Linked DNA regions of Macaca fascicularis. The protein of the gene in region 1 interacts with the protein of each later gene in a biochemical or structural test. Links are inferred from orthologs where the notes say so. Each region holds a gene or a part of one and is shown in the gene's direction. Other genes may lie near its edges.

Region 1 (9,199 bases):
CTAAAAAATAAAAATTAGTAAAAAAAAAAAAAAAAAAAATTTACTAAAACAGGGTTTTGTCCTTTCTCAATAAGCTTTTTAGCTTCCCCTCCGACTCTCTGGCTTGCCTCAGGAAATATTAGCTTATCAGTTCTGATTGGTTGACAGCTACGAATGGCGCTCACTGATTGGGCAGCGCTTCCCTTTGTCCCTTGGAAACTAACACAAATTTTTAACTCAATGTTTTTCCCATTCACGCTTCAGAGTTGGAATATCTTTGCTCCCCTACCCATATCTAGTGAGTGAAGGGCAAACTTGCAGTTCCAGTAATCTTTCCTTTCTAGTATGTCAGCTCATTATCATTCACATTAACTATACATTGAGCTTCTTGGCTTAATGGATACAGCTCTTCTTTTGTTTAGTTGGGCGGCCCTGAAAAGGGCCTTTGGTTCGGAAACGCAAGCTGGGGAGAAAGCAGCAACCTTAGCCGCCAAAGCCATAAAGGGTGCGTCCCTGGCGCTTGAGCGCATAGACCACGTCCATAGCAGTGACCGTCTTGCGCTTGGCGTGTTCCGTATAGGTGACAGCGTCACGGATCACGTTCTCCAAAAACACCTTGAGCACCCCGCGAGTCTCCTCGTAGATCAGACCAGAGATCCTCTTGACACCTCCACGCCGGGCCAGACGCCGGATGGCCGGCTTGGTGATGCCCTGGATGTTGTCGCGCAACACCTTGCGGTGGCGCTTGGCACCCCCCTTACCCAAACCCTTCCCGCCCTTACCACGTCCAGACATGACTTCGTAAGAAGTGAACCAAGAGCAAGTGAGAGAGAACAGGGGAATCGATCTTTATATATCTACGTTACCCCTCCCCCACCCCCAGCGGACACAGAATGAAAAGCGCGCAGGCGGGAAATGTGACGCCTACAGTCCCCTCCCTCAACCCCTCCTCCAAGCCCCAGGAAGTGGAGGGAGCAGCGGTTAGGGGAGGGTGGGGAGACGGGGGTGGGACCAAGCTGGCTTGACCAATGACTTTTATTTTCTTAACAGAACTACAGGCTTTGAGGAACTGGGTTAAGAATTAACCAGAGAGAGAGAGAATAGGGGAACCGATCTTTACGTTTAGGGGTAACCGAATGTTACCCCTTCCTCCACCCCCAGCGGACACAGAATGAAAAGCGCGCAGGCGGGAAATATGACGCCTACAGTGCCCTCCCTTACTCCTCCTCCAAGCCCCAGGAAGTGGCGGGAGCGGCGGTTGGGGGAGGGTTGGGAGACGGGGGTGGGACCAAGCTGGCTTGACCAATAGCTTTTATTAACAGAGCTACAGGCTTTGAGGAACTGGGTTAAGAAATACAAACCCATTCAGACTCCAGAACTATTTTAAGTCGAATGTTTTTCTTTTGACACTGAGACTCGCTGGCGCCCAGGCTGGAGTACATTACCGCGATCTCGACTCCCTAAAACCTGTGCCTCCCAGGTTCAAGCGATTCTCCTGCCTCCGGCTCCCGAGTGTAGTTTGGATTACAGGCGCTTGCCATCACGCCCATCGTGTTATTGTATTTTTCGTAGAGACTGGGTTCGGCCATATTGGCCAGGCTGATCCCAAACTCCTGACCTCTGGTGATCCGCCCGCCTCAGCCTCCCAAAGTGCTTGAATCACAGGCGCGTCATAGTGACCAGCCAAAATCGAATGGTTTTTAAGCCTTCAGTGGCAAACATCAAAACGAAAAGTGCTCCCAATGCATTCCCTTTCGTCTTAGATTGGCTTCTTACAGCTACCTTACTTGAAAAGGTGGTGGCTCTGAAAAGAGCCTTTGATTGGACCGTCAGAGCTGCCGGAGTAATCATGCCCGCTCTCCGCGGATGCGGCGAGCCAGCTGGATGTCCTTGGGCATGATAGTGACGCGCTTGGCGTGGATGGCGCACAGGTTAGTGTCCTCAAACAGCCCAACTAAGTAGGCCTCGCACGCCTCCTGCAGAGCCATCACAGCAGAGCTCTGGAAGCGCAGGTCTGTTTTGAAGTCCTGCGCAATCTCGCGCACTAGGCGCTGGAAAGGTAGTTTACGAATCAGCAGTTCGGTAGACTTCTGATAACGGCGGATCTCGCGCAGAGCCACAGTACCGGGCCGGTAGCGGTGGGGCTTTTTCACACCGCCGGTGGCCGGAGCACTCTTGCGGGCTGCCTTAGTGGCCAACTGTTTGCGTGGCGCCTTTCCACCAGTAGACTTCCGAGCAGTTTGCTTAGTACGAGCCATGATGGGAAAACAGCACAACGTAACACCCAAGACTAGCGCAAATACGTCCGCGAGCTTCTCTGCTATTTATAGTGAGTAAAGTGCAGTGATTGGATGATAGAAGACGCTAAATATGACGTTACAAGCTCTGATTGGTCTATCTTTAAGCCTCAACAATCGTGCAGTTTCACTGGCTACTATATTCTATTCCAACTCTACAGATTATTTTTAAAGTGGTATTATTATTACTATTATTATTATTTTATTTCACTTTTGCTTTGTTCCCCAAGCTGGCTTTAACTTGGGCTCAAAGGATCTTCCCGCCTCAGCGTCCGGAGTAGCTGGGATTACAGGGGAGCGCCACCGCGCCGGCTTGCACTTTAATTTTTTAATCTGTTGTCCTCTTATACATCTGGTTTTCATAACCTGAAGGCTGTGTTTATTTTCCATAAAACAAGGCATTGATTCCAAAGGTATTATAATTCTCCAATTCTGTATAGCCTTCAGCTCTTTAGGAGAAAAAAAAAGAGGGAATTCTCCTCTCCGGAAATGTACCCTTTACGGGAATTTCTGAAACCTTTCACAAGAATTGCATTCCTTTGTAATGCTTTAATTGACTTAGTAGCGCTATTGAAATCTACAAAGCATCTCAAACATAGTAGGATTACACTATTCCTCATAGAAACATTTTCTATGAGACGTCTTTCTCTTGATTATGCTCTTTGAATCCTAAACTTGCAGTGTTCTGCAGCTTTTGTTTTCTAAGCCTAGGTGTACTCTGCCAGTCAATAAATGGCGTTTCTCCAGCACTGCCGCCAGGTACCACCAGCTGGGAATTGTTGCTCTTGCGGAGCAGGAGGTGGACTTGGCCCAAGAGAAACTGGATGGTAGTCCGCAAGGAACATAATTTAGCACTGCCAAGCGCTAATGCAATCATTTTAAAAGTCTCAAAACACTAAAAAGTGGATTGTGACCTTTTTAAATTCACAGGAGACAGGCCACTTTCTATCTTTTGATTGGTTTAGGCTATTTTCTTGAACAGCCATTTAGAAAGCAGATCTATCATCCTTTATTTGCATGGAGCGTTCCCATTTTATTTGAAGCCAGTTTAACCCAATGGAAACAAGGGAGGCAGAACCCATTATTTAAAGTGGAAGCTCCTGAATCAGATAATTCGGAGTATTTCCTTTTTAAAAGTTGCGTTTTTTTCAGATACCTCGCTTATTACATTAAGAAAGGTTTATATCTTTCATAAAGGGTTTACTTACAAAAACCTTCCAATTTTATATACCTGTGTTTCATAACTGACTAGCCGTCAAACCAAGATGTATAGTTTCCAAATGTTATTTTCCAAATTTTAAGAAATTACGTGAAATATTTGAATGCGTGGCTTCTCAATAAAATAGACGTAGGAAACACTGGTAAAGAAGATGGGTACAATAGTTATCTGGGACTACTACAATTATTTGGTTGACACGTTGTTTGAAGAAAAAGGGAAAAAGCTCAGGTTACTTAGCACAGTTCGGACTTATTTAAAAACTACAACAGCACGAACGGAAATAGACCGCATTCCCTCACTCTCCGCTGTGTTAAGGGGTTATCCAGAATAGGATTGTAGAAGTGGATGTCGATTTAATAGTTTTTTTGTTCTCCCGTTAGCTGAGTCTCTGATTGGCAATGTGAGATCGTTTTAGCTTATTGATAATTTGAAATGCTCTTAACAGCCACAAACAAGCTAAAGAGAGGTTACCATAAAATCTTATCCCCAGGGTGTGCTTACACTTACCGTTTGTTTTCACACTAAGGAGACTTAACTCCCCAGCAGAATGCCTGTCGGGGAACCAGTTTCTTGGACCCAGCATTTAACGCCTTTCGCAGGTTTGTGAGGCCCATAAATCTTTGTTGAATAAAACAATGAGTTCACCATGTCATGGTGCGCTCATTGCATGTGCTGACATGGAACACAGGTTGTAAACCTTAACACCCATTTGGGGCATGTTGTATGGATGAAAAGGGCATTGGAAATTCCTGAAGTGCATCCCACATTGGACTGTGGAAGTAAGTTGCAAGTGCAGAAACGTTTCCACACTTGCAGTTTGAGTATTAATTGCAGCGTTAGTGAATTCTGGTGTTGTCTACGATTCATTCTTCTTTGACGTGAAAGGTATTCGCGAGACACATCGCTCTAAAACATTGCCAGAAAATGTAATCGAGTTGATGACTACTAGCCCTAACACGGCCTAAAACCCGCACTTTCCTCTTCCTCCCCAACTATTCAAACACTGTATTTTACATTTCTTGCAAATTAAAAACTAACATATCTGGCAACGGACCTCTAAAACTTTCTAATAAAACTCCCTGGATGCTTGTGGGGCTGCATTTGCAAACCGCTCCCCATCAACCTACTCCCTAAAACAGAGCTGCTTTTTGAGAGACAAGCGGCACCCTCTGATGTTACTAGGTGGCAGTCGGCCTACAATTTCCTTCACAATGAGGCAATCGGAGCGGCTTTTTCGGTGTGTTTGCTTGCGTTGAGGGGAGCGGGACCATAGGCCCTAGAGGCCCCCAGGTGCTCTCTGAGACTGGGGGAAACCCTCTGCAGAGCGCAGGGGGCGCTAGGGTGCGAGGGGCGGGCACTGACGGGCACCAATCACTGCGCAGTCCCACCCTATAAATAGGCTGAGTCGGGGCCTTTTTTTTCTCGCATCCTGCTTGGTCAGGTTTATACCAGTTTACTTGGTGTGCTGTATTAGTCACCATGTCCGAAACGGCGCCTCCCGCTCCCGCCGCTTCTGCTGCTCCTGAGAAACCTTCAGCTAGCAGGAAGGCAAAGAAACCTGCTAAGGTTGCGGTGGCCACTAAGAAAAAGCCTGCTGGCCCTTCCGTGTCAGAGCTGATCGTGCAGGCTGCTTCCTCCTCTAAGGAGCGTGGTGGTGTGTCATTGGCTGCTCTTAAAAAGGCGCTGGCGGCCGCAGGCTACGATGTGGAGAAGAACAACAGCCGCATTAAGCTGGGTATTAAGAGCCTGGTAAGCAAGGGAACGTTGGTGCAGACGAAGGGCACCGGCGCCTCGGGTTCCTTCAAACTCAACAAGAAGGCATCCTCCGTGGAAACCAAGCCCGGCGCTTCAAGGGTGGCTGCAAAAACCAAGGCAACGGGTGCGTCTAAAAAGCCCAAAAAGGCCACGGGGGTTAGCAAAAAGAACGTCAAGACTCCAAAAAATGCTAAAAAGTCTGCGGCAACAAGGAAATCCTCTAAGAGTCCCAAAAAACCCAAAGCTGTAAAACCCAAGAAAGTAGCTAAAAGCCCTGCTAAAACTAAGGCTATAAAACCCAAGGCGGCCAAGGCTAAGGTGACGAAGCCAAAGACTGCCAAACCCAAGAAAGCGGCACCCAAGAAAAAGTAAATTCGGTTGGAAACTTCTACTAACCCAACGGCTCTTTTAAGAGCCACCTACACACTTCGGGAAAAGAGCTGTAGTACACAGATGAAATTCCCCCAAGCAAATGCAATACGCCCTCATTTATATTAGAATCACTTGGAGAGTCAATAGGAACTTTAACATAGGTTGAGTAGTAAATTCTTGCCAGATGAGGCTATCAAAGATAGCAAGGTGAATTCAAATGCACCGAGTTAAAGTCGAATTTTAGATCACCTGTTTTGCTTTTTTTTTTTTTTTTAAGTAGCCCGAAGTCCCGCATCTCACGACCCCAAGCTAATTAGTCATAACTGTAACGAACCAAGGTTGAAGCCTAGTCCCAGGCTTGAGGCTTTTTTATTATACAAGGTTAAAGTGCGGACATTGCGTTCTTGGGTCAATATTGCTAAAGTAGCCTTTTCCGAAATTGGGTGGTCCTAAGAAATGCTTCTGGGATAGTAAGCAAAATTCATGGCTTAATCACGCCCTCTCGGCAGCAGTGGCTAGAGAGGTGTCTGTCCTTGGGAATGACGGTGACCCTTCTGGCGTGACTGGCGCCCACGTTGGCGTCCTCTGAAAGCCCCACCAGGTAGGCCTAGCTCGCTCGCTTTCTGCAGCGCCATCATGACAAAGCTTTGAAACGCAAAATGCTCTTGCTTTGCGCAGCGCTTTACCATGGGTGCACTTACAGGCTGTCGACTTGGTTTAGGCCCTCATCAGGACAAAGGAGCTTAGTTGCAATGGAGTTTTAGAGCTGCAACTCTAAAGCCCTTGCTCGGTTTCTCTGTTTTTAGAAACAGTAGCGACCTGATTGGATAATATTTGAAAATTACTATGCTTAACTGGATCGTGTTTCATCAATCGTGCAGGATTTTCAACCCTGGTGGAGCCCACACATTCAATACTGAAGATCCTTTTCTCAGAACTGCCCCTTTAAGCTTTTGCAATTTTAATTCTGGGGTTCAATTTTAATAACTGAACTTTTTTTTACATCTGACAAAAAGAGTATATGATGAGCCAAGTTTACTCAGTGCAGCTCAATTCTAAAAGTTTATTTTTGCGTGTGTGCATATGAGTTAATAATTAGTTGTATTTTTCAAACGGTCGGTCTTTTTTCAATTGTTTTGCTTAGCTCCTTCCATCGTCTAAAGTCAGGGATACAGGCACATCACATCCCTGTTCCCCCTTCCTCAAACTAATATGTAGCTACCTGTTTTTCTTTAAAAAAAATAAAAAAAAAATTCTCACCTATTTCTGTGAGAAATATACATGTTTTTCTTTGAACTAAGTATTTTACATACACCTATCTATATACATGCATAGTTTTTTGTTTTTTTAAAAAAAATAAACGTTATCTTTTGAGACTGGGTCTCAGTCTGTTGCCCAGGCTGGACTGCAGTGGCATAATCACAGCCCACTGTAACCTCCAACTCCTGGATTCAAGCTATCCTGCAGCCTCAGCATCCAGAGTAACTGGGATTGCATGGACACACCACCACGCTGGGCTAATTTTTTATTTTTATTTTTTGTAGAGATAGTCTCACCATATTGTCCAGGCTGGTCTAGAAATGGCCTCAAGCGATCATCGGCCTCCCAAAGTGTTGGGACTACAGTCACTGTGCCTGGCTCCGTATGCATAATTGTTTTGTCTTTTGATTAGGGTTATTAATTTAAAAAACAAAAAAAGGTTGGGCGCAGTGGCTCACGCCTGTAATCCCAGCACTTTGGGAAGCCAAGTAGGCAGATTGCTTGAGCTCAGGAGTTCAAGACCAGCCTGGGCAACATGGTGAAATCCCGTCTTGACAAAAAATACAAAAAATTAGCCAGGCCCGGTGGCATGCACCTGTAGTCCCAGCTACTTGGGAGGCTGGGGTGGGAGGATGACTGGAACCTGGGAGGTAGAGGCTGCAGTGAGCAGAGATCGTGCTGCCACTGCACTCAAGCCTGGATGACAGAATGAGACCCAGTCTCAAAACAAAAATAATAAAAATTTTGTACAATGATGTTATATACACTTCTGCATGTTGCTTTTCTCTTAACCAAACATGTCTAAAACCCTGTCATGAAAAAAGAAATCCTTCACATGGAGTAGCATAAGTTATTCATCCATTTCTTATTGATAAGCATTGATGTTTCCAGTTACCACTGCTGAACATGGTGCAATTGAATAGAATTCCAGGGCTGAGATTGTTAGGTTGTATTTTATTATTTTATTTATTTATTTATTTATACAGAGTCTCGCTCTGTCACCCATGATGGAGTACAGTGGCATGACCTCAGCTGCAACCTTCGCTTCCTGAGTTCAAGCGATTCTCATGCCTCCAGTCTCCCGAGAAGCTGGGATTACAGGTGCCTGCCACCATGCCCGGCTAATTTTTTATTTTTAGTAGAGATGGGGTTTCACCATGTTGTCCAGACTGGTCTCAAACTCCTGACCTCAAGTGATCTGGCCACCTCGGCCTCCCAAAGTGCTGGGATTACAGGTGTGAGCCATGGCGCCAGACCTGAACTTTGTCTTCTGTTTCATCAGTCCTTCTGTCGGTTCAAGCACCAATATCACACTGAAGACTGATGATTCTATATAAATATGGTAAAGACTGTACACCCTTACTGTTCTTATTTTTTAATTTTAAGGCAATTTTAGATTCCAGCTTTCCAAAGAATTGTGGAATGCTTAGAGCTACAGAAGCCTCGGAAGTCATTTAGTTTTTGTTTTATCAGAGAAAATTCTGTAGAGACAACCTCTGTCCTACTCTGAGTACCATCCATAGTACCCCCCATCAGCTTTAAAGGGCAATAATACCTTATGGACATGATGCTTTTCCTCAAATATATTCTAAGCCATGGTCAATGCAAAAGAGTGAGAAGGAAAGTGGAATAAGTTATCTAAGAATCACTGGGTGCTATCTTTAAACTGATTTATCACTCCCTCTTCCAAACTCTCCTGAAGGTCACTCTGCTTCCCTTACTACATAAGAACTCCTAACTCCAAGGGAGGAGGATAAGTTATTCTTATTCCATGCTTAGAAAAAGAGAAAATGGGTTTGGTAAGCGTCCACTTTCTGCTACTATTCTCTATGTTTCTGTGTTTTTTATAGGATCATTCACTTATTGGTTGGCTCTTGAGAGGGAATGCAAGGTTCAAGGAGACAAGCCTAGATCCTGCCTGTATAGAACCTCATGATGGTATGCTTCTCTAAAATGAGGCCTGAAGGAGACATGTTGAAAGTGACCCATAAATCTGCAGTATCTCATGTCTCTCAATAGGGAGAAGGAGTACCATGGGAAATAGCATTAGGTCAATGACAGTAACAACTCCCAGGTGAGTTGATTTATTCTTTTATTTATAAAGTTGTTAATATGCCACATAGTCCCTAATTTTGCCACAAATAGTCATTATTTTAATTTCATATTTCAATATTGATAAATGAAGGAAAAGTGAGTAGCAGTTAAGCAGTCCATAAACCTACATATAGCAAATTGGAGATTTTAAAATTGATTCTGGGTGCTTAAAATCCTTCTCATGGAAAAAAATTTTTCTTATTAGAAGATTTCAACATTCTTT
Region 2 (10,215 bases), on another chromosome or scaffold:
GTCCCTGCTGCCAGGCCATTCACAGAAGTTTCTCCCTGGGTGCCTTCTTTGTCCCTCCTCCTACCTCTGAGATTCCACTTTATCATCGTTCACTCCCACTGTGTTATACCTTTACTGCTCCAACTGAATGGTCTATCTAAAGCATGTAAACACCTTTTAGCTCAACCAAAAGCAGCTATGGCAACACAATTTTTAGGCCATGTGTGCAGCTGAGATGCAAGTATTATCTCAGAAAAGAAATGTTAGAAACAAGTGAAAATTACAGGTCACTGTAAATAGAAAGAAAACATAGGTTTTTTTATGTGATTATCACCATCTTTTGTAAGTATATTTCCATAGTTATCTTTCTGATTACTCAGAATTCTAATATAGATGATGAAAGGATCTTAAGAACATGTTTCAAACTCAAACATGTCATAACAATATGCCAAGAACATACAGGTATCACACACACACACACACACAAAAGAAAAAAACGATATGGGTGTCTATCAAAAGGGAAAAATTAAAAAAGATGATGGCAATTATTCAAATATGAACATAGTACTGACATGTTGCACAAAGAAAATTATAGAGTAGTAGAATCAATGGAAGCAGAATGTTCCAAAAGATAGTAATGTTTGTTTTTTTCCTCCTTAAATGTTATAAGCTACTACTTTATTTCTATTTTTTCCCTCATGGCAGATATCAAACTCATTCCAAGTTTCACTGCTCAAATGCAATGCAATAGATCACATGCAACAGTAAAAACAGAAAAACCCAGGTCATTCCAAATTTACAGAAATAATTTATTTAGAAGACTGAAATTTAAAAATCATTTAAAGCTCAGAATTTTACAATGCAAAAAGTTCATAATACAATTGACTTTTCCTAAGATATTTAGCAAACTTTCAACAATATAGTTCAGGGGAAAACCCAACAAAACATCTTGGAAATGTCTGAGAAGGGAAAGAAGAATGCATTAAAATGCACTGCATTTATATTATGCTATTTCTGTTAAAATTATAGTTTCTCATGATTATTACTCAATAAAGATAACATGTACACAAACACATAAATCAGGTTAAAAAGTAGAGTAACTTGTTTCAAAGTTAAACTAGAAGTGTATTTTAAAATAATTGTGTAGTAAATTACAGCAAAATCTCATTTCTGAGTTTCTGGAAAATATATTTTATAAACTCAAACAGCTAATATAAATCAGAAATGAATTAGATTTAGGTGTACATTATGTAATTATTATTTGTAACTAAATTACTCATTTCCTTAACAAGGTTAAAAATTATAGACCAGAATTTAAAATTTTATGTTTATTTCAGTGAAAACAAAATTGTACAGGTATTTGATATATAAATGTTCACTCATGAAATACATTCCTTATATGACACTAAGAAATCTTTCAGTGTAAGTTACACCACCATATTTGGAAATAAGTCCATGAATTGTAATTTTTAAATAACTGTAAGATGATTTGCAACTTCAGAATATCTGATATGTGGTATGAAAGTATTGGTTGGAGTCATTATTCTTGAGTTCTATATATTAATTCTCAGAAGACTCCTAAACAAAGAAGTTGGAATTTGGTTCACAGTTTAAAAACTTTGAACAAATTTTCTTATGATAACCTGTTACCCACAGCAGAAGTTACCCATAAACAAAAATAATCTGGTATTTACTAATTTCATACAATCAGTTGTAAAAACTTCCTTGGGTCTGAAGCTTTCACCAACTGGGATTTAATGTGAACCATAACCAGGGAGAGTGAACAACGATAAATTAACATAAAAGATAGCAATATCAGGAAAAGAAGAGGACAGAGAGTTAACACTCAGTATTAACATATATAATTAAATAAAGTTTCATTGTTTTTTACATTGTCCAAATGATCTAGTAACCTAAATCATGGAATTTCTGATCTAGCAATGGCTGTTGTCAAATTCAGTAATTAAAACTTCAACCCAGTGTAGAAAAGACACTTCTCTGTTCATTTAAAAGATATTTGTAGCTTATTTTTTTTTTAAATAAGTGATTTATTCAAATAAATTCTAGCCATGATGTGCTGGTTCCTATTTACTGGCAATTATTTCTGGATTATATAAACGTGTTAATTACCATCAAGTAAACCTTGTTTTAAAAGGCAAATGGTAAGTGTGAACAATTATCCAAATGGAGGATTCCCATTTGTGTCTCTGGCTTAAAGTCTAGTGATTTGTAGTGATCTAATATTTTATGTAAATATAAAATCTAATGATTTGCCTTATTAAATTTATAAGATATATGAGATTATAGATAGCTTTATAAATACAAATTTTGTTCAGAAAACTGGATCTTATTTTAGAAGACATGCTCTTAACACAAATGTATTTTATGAATTATCTTAAGCTTAAAGACATACAATTATTCACTTTTATTTTTAAAGAAAAAAATATTATAATGCATTGCAAAATATGTGCTACTGGAAATGCATCAATTTTTTATTTCCCTAGCCTTACCTTATACTATAATATAGAATCAATTTTATAAAGGCAAAAATTTGATTTACTATGAGATCAGTAACATGGTTTTAAAGTCAAAAGATTTATAGAAGTAGTATGTCCAATTCAAACAGAATTTTGCCGGGTTTTAATTTTTCTACAAAGCACTGAAGTAAATAATTTTGTGAAAAGTTTTTCTTTAATATGTTTTAAAGGGTTTCAAGTATTCTACAGATAGAGATTTTGGGGAGAACACCAAATTCTTTCCAAAAAGACAGCTATTTCAAGTTTTCTTTTACTCCATTGTAGAAGGTTTTAAAGACTTTTTTTCTCCAAAAGCTCATTTTCACCTGAAATAATTGTATTCAAGGGTTTCTCAGCAGGTAAAGTATACATTCTTACAAGGTTTCAAATTTCAGATTTCCAATAATGCATTTAAACTGAGCACTCCTCTTTCTGTGTATGTATCTATTGTCTGCAGTTCTATTATTTACACTAAATTTTAGTCCTTTTAGCTCCTCTGAAATACGTTAGTGAACCCTCAGCAGTTACTAACCACTTAATAATTGTGAACCCGCCAGCCCCTTCAAGTAGATCGTTAACCATAAGAGTGCCTGACAATTTCCAAACCATACCCTCTGTCTAAAAGGAAAAGATAGGGCTTTGTGAGGCAGAAAGGAAGCGAAGGAAAACAAAACAAATGTAGCTCATGCTGAAAGTGAAAAGTGCTTGAACAGATTAGTATTTTCTTTTCTGCAAGGCATCCTGCCAAACTTTTTCTTTATTTTTTTAAGAGAAGAGTTATTTTTTGGTCTGATTTTTCAGTTTCTTGGAAAGTATTGGTATTTACCACCCCCATCGGCCCTTCATAATTATTGTTAGTTGTTTTGTGTTTTTCCCATCCGTCCACGTCACACAGTGAGGATACCCCCTGCTTCACCCTGTCAAAACCCCAACTCTGGGCGACCCTGGGTTTGGAAACTCCGCCGACTCCCGACGACACGTCCCACTCTCTCCCACTAACGCCGCTTATTTTAGTCGCAGGATCCCCCTACTACAGTTTCAGTGAAAGCCGGAAATTTTCATTTAACTCCCCTGCCCCCCCAACCCCCCCGCCCCGCGCCTTTCTAGCCCCCGACTCGTAGAAGGGAGCTAGGGAGCCCGGAGCTCGGAGCACTGCCGGGGCTTGGCCGCCTCCTTTCTCTCCGGAAGGCTTTAATTTGCACACTTTCTTGCCACTGCGCCACGAGCCCCCAGCCTCGCCGCTGGGTGGGTCTCCGGCAGAGTTGGCTTCTCGGGTCCCTGCCCCCACCCCGCGCGGTCGCCCCCGCTGCCTCCCTGGCTGGGGCCCCCAGCGCCGGCCAGAGCCCCGCGGCCCCCGTCCGCCCCCAGCTAGCGGCGCGGGCGGCGCCCTCCGCCTTCCCTCCGCCCTCCGCCGCTGTGCCCACCCCCTCGCCGGAGAGAGTGCTGGTAACTCCTTCCCCAGAGTCTGATTACCTGCTCCGCGAGGCCGCGGACACGTGCGGAGAGCCGACTGACACTCGCAGCCCCCTCAGGAGGCCCGACGCGACTGGGCCCCTCAGGTGAGGAGCTGTGCGCTCGGGTGGGTGGGCTGCGGGGTGGGGGGTCCCTGGGGAGATATGGGGGATTGGCCGGGGTCCGAGGCAGAACTGTGGGTGGGGTAAGTGGAGGCTGGCGGGGGGTGGGGGGGACCTGTGTTTCCCTGGAATCGGCTTTGGTTAACCCCTTACGAACTGAGACGGCGTTGGTTATGGGGGCCAGTTTTGGGGAGCTAGAGGATTCTAATCTGACGAGAGGGGGAGATCCTACGCTAGGGACACCCGCGACACCGAGATCCTGCTTCCACGTACCCGTGCGCACACACACTCACACAGAACACTCCTCATCCAGTTTCTCCAAACGGAACTGGAACTTTACTCGGACATTCACATAATAATTCACATTTAGGGTTCAAAATGCACTGCCTCTAGGGACTCCATGCTGGAGAATGTGCTTGCATTTCCCCCACGAAAACTCCCTCGCCAGCTCGCTGAGGTGTGGGTGTGGGCTCCACCTTCCCCTCCACGAGATAAATGTTAACGCAGGCTTCCTGCGGGCGTGTTATGCACAGAAGAGTGCACGCAGCCGGCCGGTGCCCAGGCTTGGAGCCCCACGAAGACGCACGTTTGCTTTAGTTTCCAAGTTTACTTTTATCATTTAAAATATTGGAGTTAAACACACGCCCCGTGGTGAGCAGCCCTTGTCCCCGCAGGGCGCCCGTCCGTGTGCATATGGGCGCATCTGCGTGTGCGCACACGCGGGAGTCGCGGTCCCCGGTGTGGCCTCTTGTTGCCGTGCTGGTGGCGACCCTTGTGGTGCTTGGCAGGCTTCGGGAGAGGCGCATGAAGGATTTCATTGAGTGTGAAGACAGAGAGCAGAGACAGAAAGCAGAAGGAGGCGGCTGCAGCCTTTGTAGTCGCGGAGGAATGCGGAAATGTTGAAGCACTATGTCAAACTTTTTTTGAAATGGGGTCAAGTCACATTCAGCCAGCGTGGGAAAGCAACAACAACAACAAAAAAAAAGTGGAGGAGAGGGGGGGAAAAGGCATTGCTGCTCCCGTTTCTCTCCGCCGAAGCCGACCGTCTGGGGGGCGAGTGGGGGGAGAGTCAGGGTAGTGCGGGGCCCGGCGGGGGCAGCAGGCGAAGTTCCCTGCGGGGGTGGGACGTCCCCGACGCTTCCTTCGCTGCGGAGCCCGGGGCTAGACTCGAGCGGGAGGGGGATGGGGGGACGCAGGAGAGGCGGGTTGGGCGGCCGGCGGCGGCTCCCCGGCTACCTGTGTGGCCCTCGACCTGGCTCAGACGCCCGGGCAGTCCTTGGGGGCTCTTTCCTCGGCTTTTAAGGAAAGTTCTGAATGGAGTGAGTGCCAGAAGCTCTGCTTTCGCCGCGGTCCGCTCCACGCGCTCATCGTGGGGGTCGCGCCGTTTGTTTAATTCCTGGCAAAAGGCGAGCGGGGCAGCGGTTGCGAGGCAGGTAATTCCGAGGTGCCCCGGGAATTCCGGACACGCGGCCAGCGTGGTGAAAGTCCTGCCGAGGCCGCGGCGGCCGTGGGGGAGGGAGGCTCCCTAGGTCCCAGATAGCTGCTGAATGGGGAGGGAAAGTTAGGGTACCCTTCTCCGGCGCTTTGTTATGCAGAGGGCTCCGGGGGCGTCCGGCTGCAGCCTGGACCCGGCCTTTAGCCGGAGAGGGAATGGGGCAGCCACCTCCGCTACCTACAGCGGGGTGGTCCTGGGAGTGGGAAAAGGTTCGCGAGTCCGGGCCCCGAGGGCAGAGACCTTGTTTCTCACCCCTGGAGGCGCAGGGTTTAACCCCCCACCCCCCACCCTTTGAAAGAGAGGTTGAGTTTTGCTCAGGTCGAAATCAATTTAAAACTTCAGGACGAGGCGCGATTAAGCTATCCTCTTCCTGAAATTATTCTTTAAGAAGACGACAAGCGAAATTGTGACGAACACCCCTTTCTCCCACCCTTGGGATCCCGTGGGGGACAGTGTCTCCCCTCCCCCAGGACCTCTCGTTCGCCCACCCCCGATTAGCCCCAACCCTCCCCGACCAGATGGCTGGTCTTCCCAAGGTTTCCACCAGGGAGGTCCTCCCAGTCGGAGAGAGAATTCCGTTTCCAACCGAGACTCCTTTACCCCAAAGAGACCATTTGTGTATGCGAGTCGTTTTTAAATGTCTCCTCGTAGAAAAACTGAAAGTAGAAAGAAAGGAAGCAATTTCTGAGCAGATGTCTGACCACCCCTTCTCGCACACTCACAGCATCGGGTTACAGGGTCCTGGGAGCCCCCACCCACATTCTGCGGCCCCACACGGATGGACCCACAGTCCTTCCGCTCCAGCTTGTGCGCGACCCTTGAACGCCCTCCGGCACCCCTGGACCCCATCTCCCTGCACGTCCGGGCCTCAGGAGGCGGGGAGGGTAGCGACGCAACACAATGATATAGGGATAAATATTAAGCCGTGACATTGACGTGCCCGGCGCCTCCCCTCCCCCGCGCTCCCGGCACACTCTGGGCTGCTCGGCACGCCCCCTCCCGTTCCACTGCGTCCCGCGCCGCTCGCTCATCCCCGAGGGGCCCCTGCAACCTCTCCGCGCGAAGACGGCTTCAGCCCTGCAGGGAAAGAAAAGTAACTTCGCTTTTCTCGGAGGAACCAGGAAGGATTAAGCGGCTTGGGAGAGGGCAGGAGCGCGCGGAGGGTAGCGATGGAGGCTTCGTAAAGGAGGAGGAGGGGAGTCTGGAGGAACCCCGAGGAAGGCTTCTGGGCTGTCTGATTGCACTTTCTTCTTATCCTCCCGTCTCCTCCTTTAGGTGCAATGATTCTGGACTGAGACGCCCTTGGGCAGAGGCTATGTAATCGTCTCTGTCTGTGCTGAGGACTTCGCTTCGGGGAGGGAAGAGGAGGGATCGGCTCGCTTCTCAGGCGGCGGCAGCAGCGACTCTGCAGGCGGAGTTTCGCGGCGGCGGCACCAGAGTTACGCCAGCCCCGCGGGGAGGTCGCTCCATCCAGCCTCCGCAGCCGCGAGAGCCCCAGCGCCCGAGCGCCTGAGCCAGCAGGGAGCAAGGAAAGCTAGACCAATCTCCGGGGAGCCCCGGAGTAGGCTAGCGGCGGCCGCCAGCTAGTTGAGCGCACCCCCCGCCCGCCCCAGCGGCGACGCGCCGGGCGGCGTCCAGGCGGCATGGAGAAGGACGGCCTGTGCCGCGCTGACCAGCAGTACGAATGCGTGGCGGAGATCGGGGAGGGCGCCTATGGGAAGGTGTTCAAGGCCCGCGACTTGAAGAACGGAGGCCGTTTCGTGGCGTTGAAGCGCGTGCGGGTGCAGACGGGCGAGGAGGGCATGCCGCTCTCCACCATCCGCGAGGTGGCGGTGCTGAGGCACCTGGAGACCTTCGAGCACCCCAACGTGGTCAGGTGAGCCAGGGAGCTGCGCCCTTGCAGTCTGGGGCCGCGCGCGCGGGGAGGGCCGAGCCGGGAATCCTCAGGCCCAGAAAGGTGTGGGGCAGAGGGCGACTGGGGAGGTCCTGCGCGACTTGTTGATCTTACAGAGTGAGAGTTAAGTTTTGTCGACAGAGCCGCGAGCCAGAACCGGTGACCTTGCCAGACAGCGAGCCGAAAGACGAGTCAAAAAACATGACCTGCGCAGGCTTCCCTGCAGCTGTGCAACTTAGAAGCGTTTTCTCCGTGCCCTCCCTGAAGGAGGGTCCGGGGGAGATGGGTGCGTTTTAGGGACAGGATAAGCCAACCGGAGACATGCCCCGCTAGCTCCCGCATATTTTTACTGGCCATGCCGTTGGGGAATTTTTGAAAGACCTAGTAGGTGAGACTGGAGAATGAGGATGCTGTGTGGTAATCAGTGGGAACTTTATGGGTGGAGCCTAGTGTAAATCAGGTTAAGAAGATGCAGAAACATCATAATATTTTTGCCAGTCATACTCTCAGTTTCTCTTTATTAAAGTTGCGTAATAAGAATGACTGCTGGTGGTCTAAGGAGTTTGAGTGCTGATGCCCAATTTCAAACAGCGTCATAAAAATTTCTTCCAAAACTGTTATCCCTGTGTCTGTTTTACTTTATATCTCTGGGCGGACATACTCTTTAGACTAATTCTCCAAAGGGTTAAATGTGAGTCCAAGATGTGGGATGGTTAGATCATAAATGTTCTGCCCATGGTTTTCCCAGATGGGGTGTGCGAGTGAGTGGGGAGACAGCAGTTCTTACTCTCTCCTGCGTGGTAACCAGTATTAAATGAAAATGTGTGACTTAGGATAATGGTGTTTTCTTAGTGATCCTGGAATTTCCCCATTGTGTGGTTGACATTGTTTGGTTGTGTCATCCTTTTCCTTTTTAAACAGAGATGCATAGCTTTACATTAAAAAGGAATGCCTTCTACAAATTGGGTTGTACAAAAACTTCTACAAATTGGATTGTGATTTTACTTTTCTCGATCTTGAGAAAATGTGTAGCAGAAAGATCTTTTTTCTCATCCATTTAGGGCTTCTGTTCAACAAATACATGCCTACTGTGTGCGCTGAGGATGAAATTATGTAAATAAGCACAGCTAAATATTTTTGTAAAAAGTCAAACAATTTAACATTAGTCATCAAAGTGGAGAGACCCAAGACTGACCTTTGAAATACCAAACTCTCTACAGACTCAGAGAGACCAAGTCGCTACAGAATCTTCCTCGGAGGTTTTAACTTGTCTCCTCTTTTCCCAGGCTGGTGATTTGTGCGGTGCTTTGTTCTCTTCAGTTTAGACTGAAGCTAGAAAGCATCAAAGAATCATAAATACATAAATAAGGCAGTAAATGGTTATGAAGTTGGAACCGCATTATACCTCTGCTTTAGCTAGTGAAGGAAGGACAAAAGATACTGAGATTGCGAGAATGAGTGTTTTGGAAGATGAGATTATATATTAAAAAGCTATAGATGACTTTTTTAGTGTGTATTTTCTTTGTTAAAAACAACAAAATCCCTTTTGGGGGCTCTTTGTGATATTGGAGGGAAAAGGGGAGGGTACATTTAGGCCCCTGTAACTCAGTTGTCATCCCAGAGGAATCACCTGAATACATACTGAAGGATGAATTCCACCACTACAATTTTAAGACGAAAAGTTCTTGTTTTATTTTGTCTGTTACCTATGGAGTATCCAATTAAGGGTCATTATCATGTGTATGAATGAATAATGTCCCTCCAACACAGAGGTACTACAGAGGCACCCCTGTATAACACTATTGTTTACAAAGCTCACGCCATTCTTATAACAGAGGCACACTTTCTGCCACTGTGCTTGTAGATTTTGTCTGATCCATCCTATTCTCTTGATTTATCCTCCTGAGATTGATGTGTTTCTAGACGTTTCTAACGACCCATGACTTGGATTCTGTACTGTGAATTTCAGGAGGATATACTTATGAACTGAAGACAAAGGCATTGTTTTCTGAAGTTATTTTACATGTTAAGTGGCACCTTTTACATGATGGCACCTACCTGTTGAAGTCGTGAGAATAAAATGACATGGTGTATGTGAAAGCACTTTGTAAATGTAAAAGTACTTCAGATATCTAAAGGATTGTTTGCATTTCAGCAGATTAGTAGGTCTCTTGCCATGGAGCAACTTTGCAGGGAGGAGTCAACTCACCTGACCTTTTTTGTAGAACAAATCGTATTCAAACCCAGACATTACAGGTTCTGGAACCAAGAAGCTACTTGAGGATAATTAGCCTGTAGGATGTCAGAAAAGACTGTCAGTCACCGAGCCATGAAATTCAGTGATACTTGAGGAAATTATTGATGATGTCACCCTCGTGAGCTACAGATCTTCATTCCCTTTTTGTTTCCTTCCTATTTCTTCTCTTTTGCCTCTGTCTTGGAACAACCATTGGTCCCCATGACTTACTTGGCCAGACTAAGAATTCTGGATTTTAGAGGTTGCTAATATTTGCTCAGACAGGGTCAGGAAATAAGGATAGTTGACAGCAATTCTTTTCTTTCCAAGGGAGAGTTGTCAAAGTTGGGTCCCCAAACCTGTGATTTATTATTGCCCCTAGGATTAGTTTTACAGTCTTAAGCCTGGTTCTTTAATGGTTTCTTAAAAGGGCAGATGCTTTTATAAGTACCTTCAAGTCGTAAGTAATTGATCATAATTATAGGCCCTCCCCACAGATAGTTAAGCCTCTAAGCTAACAG
Region 3 (10,215 bases), on another chromosome or scaffold:
CTGCAGTGCGGGGCACAGCCAGGATGTGAACCAGCCCCTGGCCTGGCACTTCCCTGCTATGCAGTACTACCCACAAGGCCACTGTCCCCTCAGCCTGTCCTTGCTTGTGTTTAACCTAGTGCCTGAGGCTGACACTCCTGTTGATGACAGTCTTGGTGGCCTGAGGCATGGGCATGTCCCAAGTGTCCTTCCTACTACACTGTCCCCAGTGGGCACCTCCCAGGCTCTTGCCCAGGTGCACTACCACTGTTGACTGTGTCTCCTGCTCCAGAAACACAAGCCCACTCTGTCTTGGCCAGGCCAGTGCTCTGGGTGTGATGGGGATTGCCGTGGCAACCAAAGCTTCAGGGACAAGGATGGTGACACAGAGAGACAGAAACAGAGAGAAGGTGCAAAAGGCAGAGAGGCCAGGACAAGGACCAACTCTTGGCAGGGATCAAGTGAGGGACCCCATTTGCCTTCAGCTGTGTGGGCCTCAGGGACAGAGGGAGGGCTTTTCCAGGTTGCTTGGCCGAGTCTTGGACTTCAGGAGTGGAGGAGTCTGGAGGCCTCCCAGGGTTCATGGCCTTTGGAGGAGGCAGAAGTGACAGGGGTCAAGCTGCTTCTCCTTTGGATAAATCCTCCAGGAGGTCCACAGAGGGAACAGCCCTGGGTGGATGCCGTGGGTGGGAGTCTGGAAGCTGCCTGGCGCCACCCCTAGCCCATCTCCTTGGCTGCAAACCTGGAGGAAGAGGAAAAGTACCACCTCTAGGCAGCTGCTATGAGTCTAGCCCTGCTCAGGGATTTACGTCCCATGTCATGAGAGGCCATTGAAGGCTCTTTCAAGGCTGACGGCCTATGACTTGGCACATGACCATGCCAGGTCACAGGCTGTAACCCTGGGCAATGTGTTTAGCCTGGCTGAGGCTCTGTATATATCATCTCATTTAACCCTTATCATCTCATTCAACCTCTGACATGAGTCTGTCATCAGCTCTCTTCATAGGTGAGAACTCCAAAGCTGGGAGAGGCACGGTCACCTACTCAGGGCCATACAGTTAGCATGTGACACAGCCAAGGTTTGCTCTCAGGCTTCAGCAGGCCCTTCTTGTTGATGCCAGGCAGATTATGGGGACACAGATACCAGCTCATCTGGACCCTGCCCTGGCCCACCAGTGTGGCACCCAGAAGCAGCTCCAAGATGCAGGTTGGTTCTAGTCAAGCGTGGCCTGGACTCTCTGGACCTCATGCAAACCTGTTCTCCCTGGGGCCCTTGGACCTAAGGCCTGGAGGGAAGCCCACCTTCATCCCTTCTCTGCCCTTGCCACAGCATAGCCAGCACAGCCTTAGCCCCTCTGCCCCCCTCTGAGTACATCACACTTCCCCTTTCTCCAGAGGAGAGAGATTGGCTGAAGCCAGTGTGTGCTTGCAGCCCCTGAGCTCACAAGTCTGCATATCCTGAGGATCAGGAAAGTGCTTCCTGTTGTCTAATGTAAATCTTGTTCCTGTAACACCAGAATATGTCAAAGCAGTGATTCTCAACAAGGGGTAATTTTGCCCTGCAGCGGACATTTGGCAATGTTTGGAGACATTTTTGTCTGTCACAAGTTAAAGCAGGGAGGTACTACTGGCATCCAGTAGGCAGAGGCCAGGAATGCTGCTAAACATCCTTACAGTGCACAGGGCAGCCCCCACAGCAAAGAATCATCTGTCCCAAAGGTCAGTGGTGTTGGAATTGAGATCCCTGATGTAAACTATGGGCTTTGGAGGCAGAGAGACCTCAGTCTGAATCCACCTCTGCCACTGACTAGCTGTGTACTCTGGGGCAAGTCGCTTCTCCTTTCCCTGAGCCTGTTTGCTCATCACCAAAACTGGCACTAACAGTAGCCCTCACCTCTTAACTGTTCCGACTGCACACATCCAGCACCCAGCACACAGCCTGGTGCTGGGTAGCCCCTATCAGCGATAGCCATGATTATTCATTTCCTTCTTCCAAGGTGAACCACAGGGAGTGGGAACAAAGGTCTGGTGCCTGGACCTGGAGGCCACAAAGGTCTGGTGGCTGGACCTGGAGCTCCACAAGGGTCAGTCCTCCCTCTGGCTGCAGTCCCTGGCACAGGGTGGGCCTATTGTTTATGTTGAGGGAGAGGCTGGGTTGGCTTACTGTGAACCTGAAGGAGGAGCCAGAAGGAAACCTGATCCCAAGTGGGCAAAGGTCACCTGAGGCTCACCTTGTGCACCCTTTCCTCCAGTCCAACCCCAGGGAAGCCATGGGGCATGATGGGTGGGGTGGGATGGTATCAGGACACAGAACATGCTAATGAATATGGTCCTTCGCTCAGGGAAGTGCTGTGCATTACAACTGGGCATCAGGCAGGAGGGGCATTTGAATGGACACAACCAGGGCAGGTAGAGGTTTGGGGGTGGGGTGGGAAATGGCATTCAGGCCCAGAGAACAGCATGCTCAAGGCCTGGGTGTGAAGAGAAAAATGTCTTTCCCAAAGGATAGTCCTGGAACCCACCTGGTCTGACCTTTTCTCCCCATCCATCTTCCCCAATCTCAACCCAGGTGGCTGACAACATGGCAGCCCTTCTGTCCCCCATCCAGCCTCTCCTCTGCCCTGCAGTCCCTCTGCCCCATCTATCCCGCAGGAGCCCTCTAGAGCCTGTCGTCCTGACTGATTGTAACAGCTTTCACCACCTTCTCATTGCTCCGTAAGAAGACCAAAGTCCAATAACCTGTCTCTGTCACAAGCCCCTTTCTCAGCTCAGGCCACCTCTGGGATTGTCCCCCACTTCCATCCCTTGTGTTTAGACTTTCCCTATCCCTTCTAGGTGGTTCCCCAGGACCTGGAACCCTCTTTTTTGTCTCCTGGGAAGTGACATTTCTTTGGATCAGTATAAGAATAATGTCTTGGCTTTCTGAGCTCTGGGGACAGGGGAATGGACACCCTAGAACCCCAACTGGTCCCTAGACTTTGAGCCTAGGGGACACTCGATGAATAGATGGATGAGTGTATGAATGAATGAATGAATGAGTTATGGCTGACAACCAAGTTCCACGTCTGGAAAGGAGGCTCAGGCGCCTGCCAGGAGCAATAGAGAGGTCTCGAAGATGGGGGCAGGAGAGCAGAAGACTGCCAATCGGGGTAGGGGCAACTGCCAGTCGGGGTAGGGGCAGGTCCCAGAACCGCCTGAGGAGCAGTGCAGCGGCCGACCAGCGAGAACCTCCGGCCCTGGAGTGTAACCAGCTCAGTCTTTGGGGCAGAGCCGGGACAGCGGGCTTGGCGGCGGGCACCGAGCCCGGCCGCGTCCGAGTTCCAGCCAACAGGAAGAGCAGGAGTGGGGCCAAGGGAGGCGGGCCAGCTGGCTAGTGGGGAGTCCCGGGCGTGGGTGTGGGGAGCGGGGGAACCCCCGCCGGCGCCTCCCAGGCCCCAGCGGGCGGGGGGCGCCTCCTTATCGGGCCTCAGCGGCCTCCTCTGTAAAATGGGCCCCTTCTGAGGGCTGGCTGCGCGTAATGGCGGGAGGATGCGAAGCGGGCCACAGAGGGCAGAGGGGCCGGGAGACTCAGTGTCCCGCGCAGAAAGAGGCAGAGGGACACAGTCCCCGGTTGCAGCTGGTGGGGCGGGGCCTGGAGGGGCGGGGCCTGGAGGGGGCGGGGCCGGCGGCACCTGGGTGAGGTCGCGCCGCCCCGCCCCCTCGCACTTCCGTGTGCCGCGGCGCCGGAGCCCGAGGCTGCTGCAGCCCAGATCCCCCGAGCGACCCCCGGCGCCCGCCCGCCGTGCCGAGGCCCGGGCCACACCTCACTGGCCGCTGGACTCGTCCCAGTCAGCGCCGCGCCGACCGCCGTCCGCGCGCGCCAAGGAGCCGCCCGCCCGCCACCGCCGCCGCGACCCTTGGCGCCTGCCCCTGCGCCGGGAGGTGAGTTAGGGCCGGGACCCGGCGCGGGATCGGGGCTACCCCGAGGGCGCGACGCCCTTTCTTCCCCTCCCCGGCCCGGTTCCCGTTTCCGAAACTGAGAAACTGAGCCGCGGTCAGCGAAAGTCCCTCCGCGCCGAGACATGCCGGTGACTCCGTCCCCCCGTCCGTCTGTCTGTCCGTCCCTCCGCCAGATAGTGGGGGCTGAGGTCTTTCTGTCCGCCCGCCCGTGTGTCTCCCGCTCCTCCGAGAGGCCCGTCCGTCCTTCCCGACTGTCTCCTGGGCCCTGTGACCGTCCGTCTGTCGCCACCCACTCTGTGTTCTCCCCCTGCGCGCCTCTCCGAGACCCGATCCGTCTGTCCCTCGCCCTCCGCGTGCTCCATCGCCCCACCCCCACCCTTACCCCCGCCGGCCGCCCCCTCGATCCCGTTCTCCCGGAGCCGCGCCCCCGGCCCACGCTTGCCGCCCCCTGCCGGTCCAGCCGCCTATCCGCTCTACCGCGGAGCCCAGGCCAGGCCGCCCGCCGGGCCTCGCCTCCCGCCCCTGGGTCCCTGGAGGCCCGACTCGCGCGGCGCCTCCTCCTCGCTGTCTCTTCTTTCGGTCTCAAGAGTCTTTCTCGGTCCCTTCATCCGTCTCTGGGCTGGGCGTGGCTCCAGTCTCCACCATCCCCCTTACTGCCCCACCCCTCCGCCCCTCTGAGACCCCTTCCCAGGGTGGCCCCTGCCCGGTGTGGTCTGCACCCGCCCCCAACCCAGATGCCACTCGCGTTGTGGGGGCTCTGCCAGGTGAGGGGAGGGAGGGGGAAGTCCTCCTGGCTGGTGGTGGAGAGGCAGAAGGAGAGCACCATCGGAACTGCTCCCACTTCCCCAATTCCCTCACTCTTGGGGCACAGGAGAGCCCCACTGAGCCCCCACTTAAACCTGGTCAGAAGGATTTGCTGTGAGTGTGTGGGGGGGTCCCCTTCTCTGATGCCTACCCTGTATGCATGGACGCTATCTCCTTGTGCTAAGTCACTGGTATCTGGGTGTGTGGGTTGTCTGTGTCAGCTTCTGTGCTGTCACTGTGGGACTTGCCTGTGCATGTGTGTCCTTTTTCGCATGTGTGGCTTGCTTGTGTGTATGTGTGTATGTCTGTTTGTGTCCTGAGGCTCTGTGTGTGTCTTTTGCAACTGTGTGTACCATTCTTGGTGTTTTTGTTGTCACCAGACTTGTGTGTGTGTGTGTGTCCTTGTCTGCCAGTGTGTGTGTCCCTGTGTGTCTGGAGATTTCAGTGTTGCATACTGGGTATATCATGGTGACCAACTGCCCACAAGTACCTTAGATCTGTTAATTGTGGAAGCCCCTGGTGTTGGGTGCCTGCCCACCAGGCTCATGTGTGAGTGTATCTGTATGAGTGTGTGTATGTGCGTGTACTCATGTGTGGCTCTCCCTCTGCCACTGAGCTTCTGTGACCAGGCTCACCTGGTCACTAAGGGAGGGGACTGATCCCTGGGGTTTCCTCGTTCCTACTGTGGAGTGAGCTGGGGCGCGGTGGGCAGGCCAACAGAGGGAGGCTGTATGGCGCATGTGTGATGTGTGCAGTTGTGTGTGTGTGTGAGACAGAGAGGTGTGGAGGTGTCTGGGCAGCTGTACCTGGCTGAGGGGTGGTGTGAGGACTATGGGATGGGACGGTACTGGGGTAAGCCTGGCAGTGTGTGGTCATGGTAGGAGTGTGTGACTGGTGGGACACAGTCTATGCTTGGGGAGTGACTGTGATTGTGGGGAACGGAGAGTGCCTGGGCGTGGGTGTTAGCGGCAGGAGGGGGTGTGACAAGGTGTGTGGTGACAGTGCTGGGAGGGAAGGTGAGAGCCCAGTATGGGTGTGTGAGTGTGTGGGAGACCATGAGGATGTGGGTGTGCACATGGAGAGGGCTAGAGGGCAAGTCTTGGGGTTAGCAGTGTTGTGACCAAGACCTCGGGCTCTGGATCCAAGAATGATTTGGGCTCCAATACTTGCTTGTGCCTGTTAAGAGCAAGAGACCCAAGCTAGGCCTCTCAAGGCTGAGTGTCTTTATCTGCAGAATGGAGAAAGTTGTGTGGACAAAAGGTCCTGAAGTCTTATGTTGTCACCACCCCCGGCTATATGGTTCCCATTCTCCTGGGAGCTGGGGTTAAAGAAAGCCCAGACAGTATCCAACCCAATTTCCTGCCTGTCTGTTGCCCCTTCCCATCTCCTTGACCAAGCAGCTTGAGGGAGGGAGGATGCCCAGACAAAGCCCCTAGTACCCAGCCCTGTTCAGCCTGCATGACAGCCCCTCCCTCACCAGCCGTTAGTGTCAGTAGCAGCAATGGGGGAGAGAGGGGTGGGGAGTGATTCAGAGCTGTGACTGCAGGGCGCTGACACCATTTAGCTGGCACAGTTTAGATTAAAATTAGAAATAATTTAAAGTACAGACGAAAAGATAAAGCCAAGGATGCCTCTATCCCCAGGGAATGGTGATGAGGGTCTCCAGCTGGGGGAGGGGCTCACATCTGGGGAGCAGAATCTTTCTTAGAGGCTTGAGCTGGCTGTCAGAAAAAATGCTTAGGCCTTTCAGCCAGGAGACACAGAGTTCCTTGCTACCTTTGCCATTTCTTCCTTCCAGGATATCTCCAGGCCTCAGTTTTTTCAGCTGTGTAATGGGCACAATAGTAACGTGAGAATCACCTGAACTATAATGCACAAAACAAGAGATTAAAAAATGTCACTCTTCAGGCTGGGCACAGTGGCTCACACCTGTAATTCCAGCATTTTGGGAAGCCGAGGCGGTAGATTACTTGGTCAGGAGTTTGAGACCAGCCTGGACAACATTTTGTCTCTACTGAAAATACAAAAATTATCTGGGCGCGGTGGTGCGCGCCTGTAATCTCAGCTGCTCAGGAGACTGAGGCACAAGAATCACTTGAGACCAGGAGGTGGAGGTTGCAGTGAGCCAAGATTGTGCCACTGCACTCCAGCCTGGGCGATAGAGCGAGACCCTGCCACATTAAAAAAAAAAAAAAAAAATCAGTCATTTGGCATTCTCAACGTGAGTCCAGCACAGGAGCTTGCACGCCACATCATTGGAACCTCAGAACCACCTGGGGAGAGGGGGCTAGCAGTTTCTCCATTAAAAAAACTGAGGCTCAGAGGAATTGCCCCAGGCCATAAAGTGGTGTGGTACTTCATTGCACCCTAGGACTCCTAAGCCTGCAGGGCAACCTCCCGCAGACAGGAGAGTCGGGAACAGGTTTTTGCTGTGTTATTGGCTTCCTCACCAGGCTGGAAATGTGCTGAGGGCAGGGACACAGTGTTCCAGCCCCTAACATGGAATGGACACATAGTGGTGTCCAGGAAAAGTTGGACCCAACACTACATTTCAAGGAAGGGAAAGCCACATCCAGAGAGACCCAAGGTTTTAGGGCCAGGAGAGACTGAACTGGGCCTGTCAGCCATGCCGGGACTGGCAGATGGGGAGAGCCTGTTTGGCGGTGCCTCCCGGTTCAGCTGTTTCCTCCTGTTCCTGCAGGTCTGCAGGGAACTGGCCAGGCAAGGGTGCAGGCCGGTTTCTCCTGGTGGTTGGTGCGTTGCAGCAGCAGCAGGAGCCAGGACTAAGGACAAGCGGGAGCTGGGAGCCCCAGGTAGGACTGAGTTCTCTTAGGCAGATGGACGGTGCTCAGGCGTGGCCTTCCTCTCTGTCCTCCCTGTCCTTTGCTGTGGGACTGGATGGGGTTGGGCATGCATGCAGAGTCCTTGATCTGGTTGTGGGCCCTATGTGCCCAGGGGCCGCAGCTGTTTGCCCTGTCTATGGAGGGGCTCTCTGCTCATGAGGAACTTCCCGCCTGGAACCTGGCTCTGGCCCCGAATGCTCTCGCCTTGGAGCTCAGAGGCCTGGGGCCTACCATGAGTTTGGGGCAAGAAGTAGTAACACTTTTTTGGTCAGTTAGAGAGAGGGTGGCTCGTGGGCCAAGGATTGAGGGTGGATGTATCAGCTTTTCCTTGGCCCTGTATCTGCCTCCAACTGTCCTCATCGTCACACAAGGACACTGAAATTCCCCGTGGGCCCCACAGTGAGTTGGACGCTGCGGGGGGATGGAATGGGGTCTCCAGGTACAGCTGAGCTGTCTTCCACACCCCAGGCCCCTCCATTTTCCCCACTTCTCTAGAGCCCGAGCAGGGCTCAGTCCCTCTCGTCAGCTTCCAAATTCAAGGGGAGTTAGGCAGAGTCTGGAACAATGCTGGGAAGGCTGCAGTCTCTCTGAAGAGCCTCAGAAAGCTGGAAATTCCTCGTTTTGGGGCAAGCCTTGCCTCCTTCAGCCCCATTACCATGAAAACACTGCTGTGGGTGACTCCATACTCACTCCAGGCTGGTGACTGGGTGACTGGGCCCCAGTGAGCAGGGTTCTGGTGGTGGGTATGGGTGCTAATGAAGCTTGAGCCTGGGAGTGACAGTGGGGGGATAGCAAAGACCGTCTTTCCTCCAGGAGCGCTCCCTGAGCAGACCACCGCAGCCAACCCCACTGGCTGTTACACACTTATAGGTCTGTGAGTAGAGCCATAAGGGCTGGGCTTCCTGGGCCTGACTCTGGGTTAGGGGGCAGAAAGGAGGTCAGGGCCCTCACTCCTGGGGTAGGAGTTGGGGCAGAACAGGAGTCGTCTTCACTGGGCCTTCTGTGTATTGGACCTATCCCTAAACCTGGTGTGGAGGAAGTGAAGTGCCTTTGGCTGTGTAGGGGCCTCTGCCACCGGAGTTCTGAAGAGCCAGCCCTTTCTGTCACTCAGCCTTGTTTTCTAAGGAGTTTGATTAGTCTTGGAGACAGCCCACGGTAAATCCTCAGACATCACCCGCCTGCTGCACAGACATATGCGTGCTCACACAGGGATATGGCAAGCCAGGCTGCAGTGGCCATGCACACCCACAGACTCATGAGTGCGTGCACCACCCATGTGGGCGTGCAGGTACACAGGTGCTCACATGCAGCCACCCATGGCACACTCACGCACACACAGATGATCTCCCAGTTACCATTGGCATCCATGCACTCAAATGCCTTCCCACACATACCACACTGTGCCCATTCTGGGGTCAGGAAGGGGGGCCCTGGTCAGAGTCACAGCCCAGCAAGGTCGCCTGCATCTGGCACCTGAGGGGGAAGTTCCAGGTGTGGCTGTGATCTCAGGGGGTTAAGGGGGGCTGGGCCACCCTGGTAGGTGGGCTCTGCCCATGCATTCAGCAGCCACCCTCCCACCTGGCCCCAGGCTCCAGGCCGACCAGGGCTTGGCATGGGAGATGGGAGATGGGAGATACGAGTGCAGGGGAGATGCGTGTCAGCTGTGCCAGCACCGTGTGCCTAGTGCCACGGCAGAGGAAGTAGGCTTTCTGGCCATGAGGCCAGTGTGCCCACAGTGGGTGGGGGTCCTATCACAACGCCTGTGTCCCCCACAGCATCCATGGCTAGAGGGAGTGGAGTTGCTGGGCTCTAGGGACTAAGAGGTTGGCAGGGGCGGTCTGTTCACTTCCCAAAGGCTGGGCCTGTCTGTCCGAGGCGTTTCCGGAGGCTCACTTCCTCTGGGCTGCCCAGGAAGTGGTTTTGGAGTGGGACTGACCAGCCCTCCGTCCGCAGCTCTACGCCTTGCTCCACCCCTGCCTTGCCTGCCCAGGGGAGCAGCATCTGGCCACCGGGTTAGGCTGACTGACCAGGCTTTTCACTGCCAGGGCTGCCCAGGCTTTTTTCGGGGGCTCTAGGAGAAGGGCAGGGGCCAGGTCATGAAGTCCCCTGCAGTCTCCACAACTTTCTCGTCCCCGCACCTTTCTTGCTCTGACCCTGTAAGCCGAGGCTCAAGAGCATCAGCTCTGGTAGTCATGGCCCCCTTGAGAGTGGTGATGGCTGGGCTGCATCTCAGTGACTAGGCAGCTCCCAGCAGCTCTATGAATGAGCCTGGGCAAGTGGCTTTGCCTCTTAGTGCCTCAGTTTCCCCCGACAGATGAGATGATAGCATCCATCTTGATGAGGTTGAGCAGAAATGACAGATAACATATGCAAAGTAGCTAGCATCGTGCTTAGCACATTGTCAGAGTTGAATGAGTAGAAACTGTAGTTATGTAAAGCATTTAGTGCCCAGTTCATGGGAACTATTCAAAAAATAGCAAGTGGGACTGATGAGGGGGTACTATGATCTGAGGGGCTGGGCACTGGCCCAGTGTTACATGGCCAGGTGCTATGGAGCCTGGCCGAGGAGCCAGGTCTCTGACTCCCTCATCCCCCTCAATTCTGCCTCCAGTGGCAGCACCCTACTGGTTCAATAGGTTCCATGTCTTCT

Evidence for each region.
Region 2: of the proteins of H1-1 (region 1) and CDK6, one has a biochemical effect on the other in vitro, tested with the Homo sapiens proteins (2 studies listed by BioGRID). The link is inferred for Macaca fascicularis from reciprocal best matches to the Homo sapiens genes H1-1 and CDK6.
Region 3: of the proteins of H1-1 (region 1) and PRKCD, one has a biochemical effect on the other in vitro, tested with the Homo sapiens proteins (2 studies listed by BioGRID). The link is inferred for Macaca fascicularis from reciprocal best matches to the Homo sapiens genes H1-1 and PRKCD.

Annotation. Positions count from the first base shown.
Region 1 is NC_088378.1:146,908,523-146,917,721, forward strand, and holds H1-1 (histone H1.1), read left to right. Parts: upstream 1-4,916; 5' UTR 4,917-4,974; coding exon 4,975-5,622; 3' UTR 5,623-5,623; downstream 5,624-9,199. Other genes in the region: H4C1 (histone H4), read right to left, coding at 463-774; H3C1 (histone H3.1), read right to left, coding at 1,827-2,237. UniProt on the Homo sapiens protein: Histone H1 protein binds to linker DNA between nucleosomes forming the macromolecular structure known as the chromatin fiber. Histones H1 are necessary for the condensation of nucleosome chains into higher-order structured fibers.
Region 2 is NC_088377.1:128,507,386-128,517,600, forward strand, and holds the start of CDK6 (cyclin-dependent kinase 6), read left to right. Parts: upstream 1-3,962; 5' UTR 3,963-4,054; intron 4,055-6,599; exon of another isoform or gene 6,600-6,839; 5' UTR 6,840-7,207; coding exon 7,208-7,440; intron 7,441-10,215. UniProt on the Homo sapiens protein: Serine/threonine-protein kinase involved in the control of the cell cycle and differentiation; promotes G1/S transition. Phosphorylates pRB/RB1 and NPM1.
Region 3 is NC_088376.1:116,294,493-116,304,707, forward strand, and holds the start of PRKCD (protein kinase C delta type), read left to right. Parts: upstream 1-3,680; 5' UTR 3,681-3,900; intron 3,901-4,710; exon of another isoform or gene 4,711-4,836; intron 4,837-7,423; exon of another isoform or gene 7,424-7,535; intron 7,536-10,215.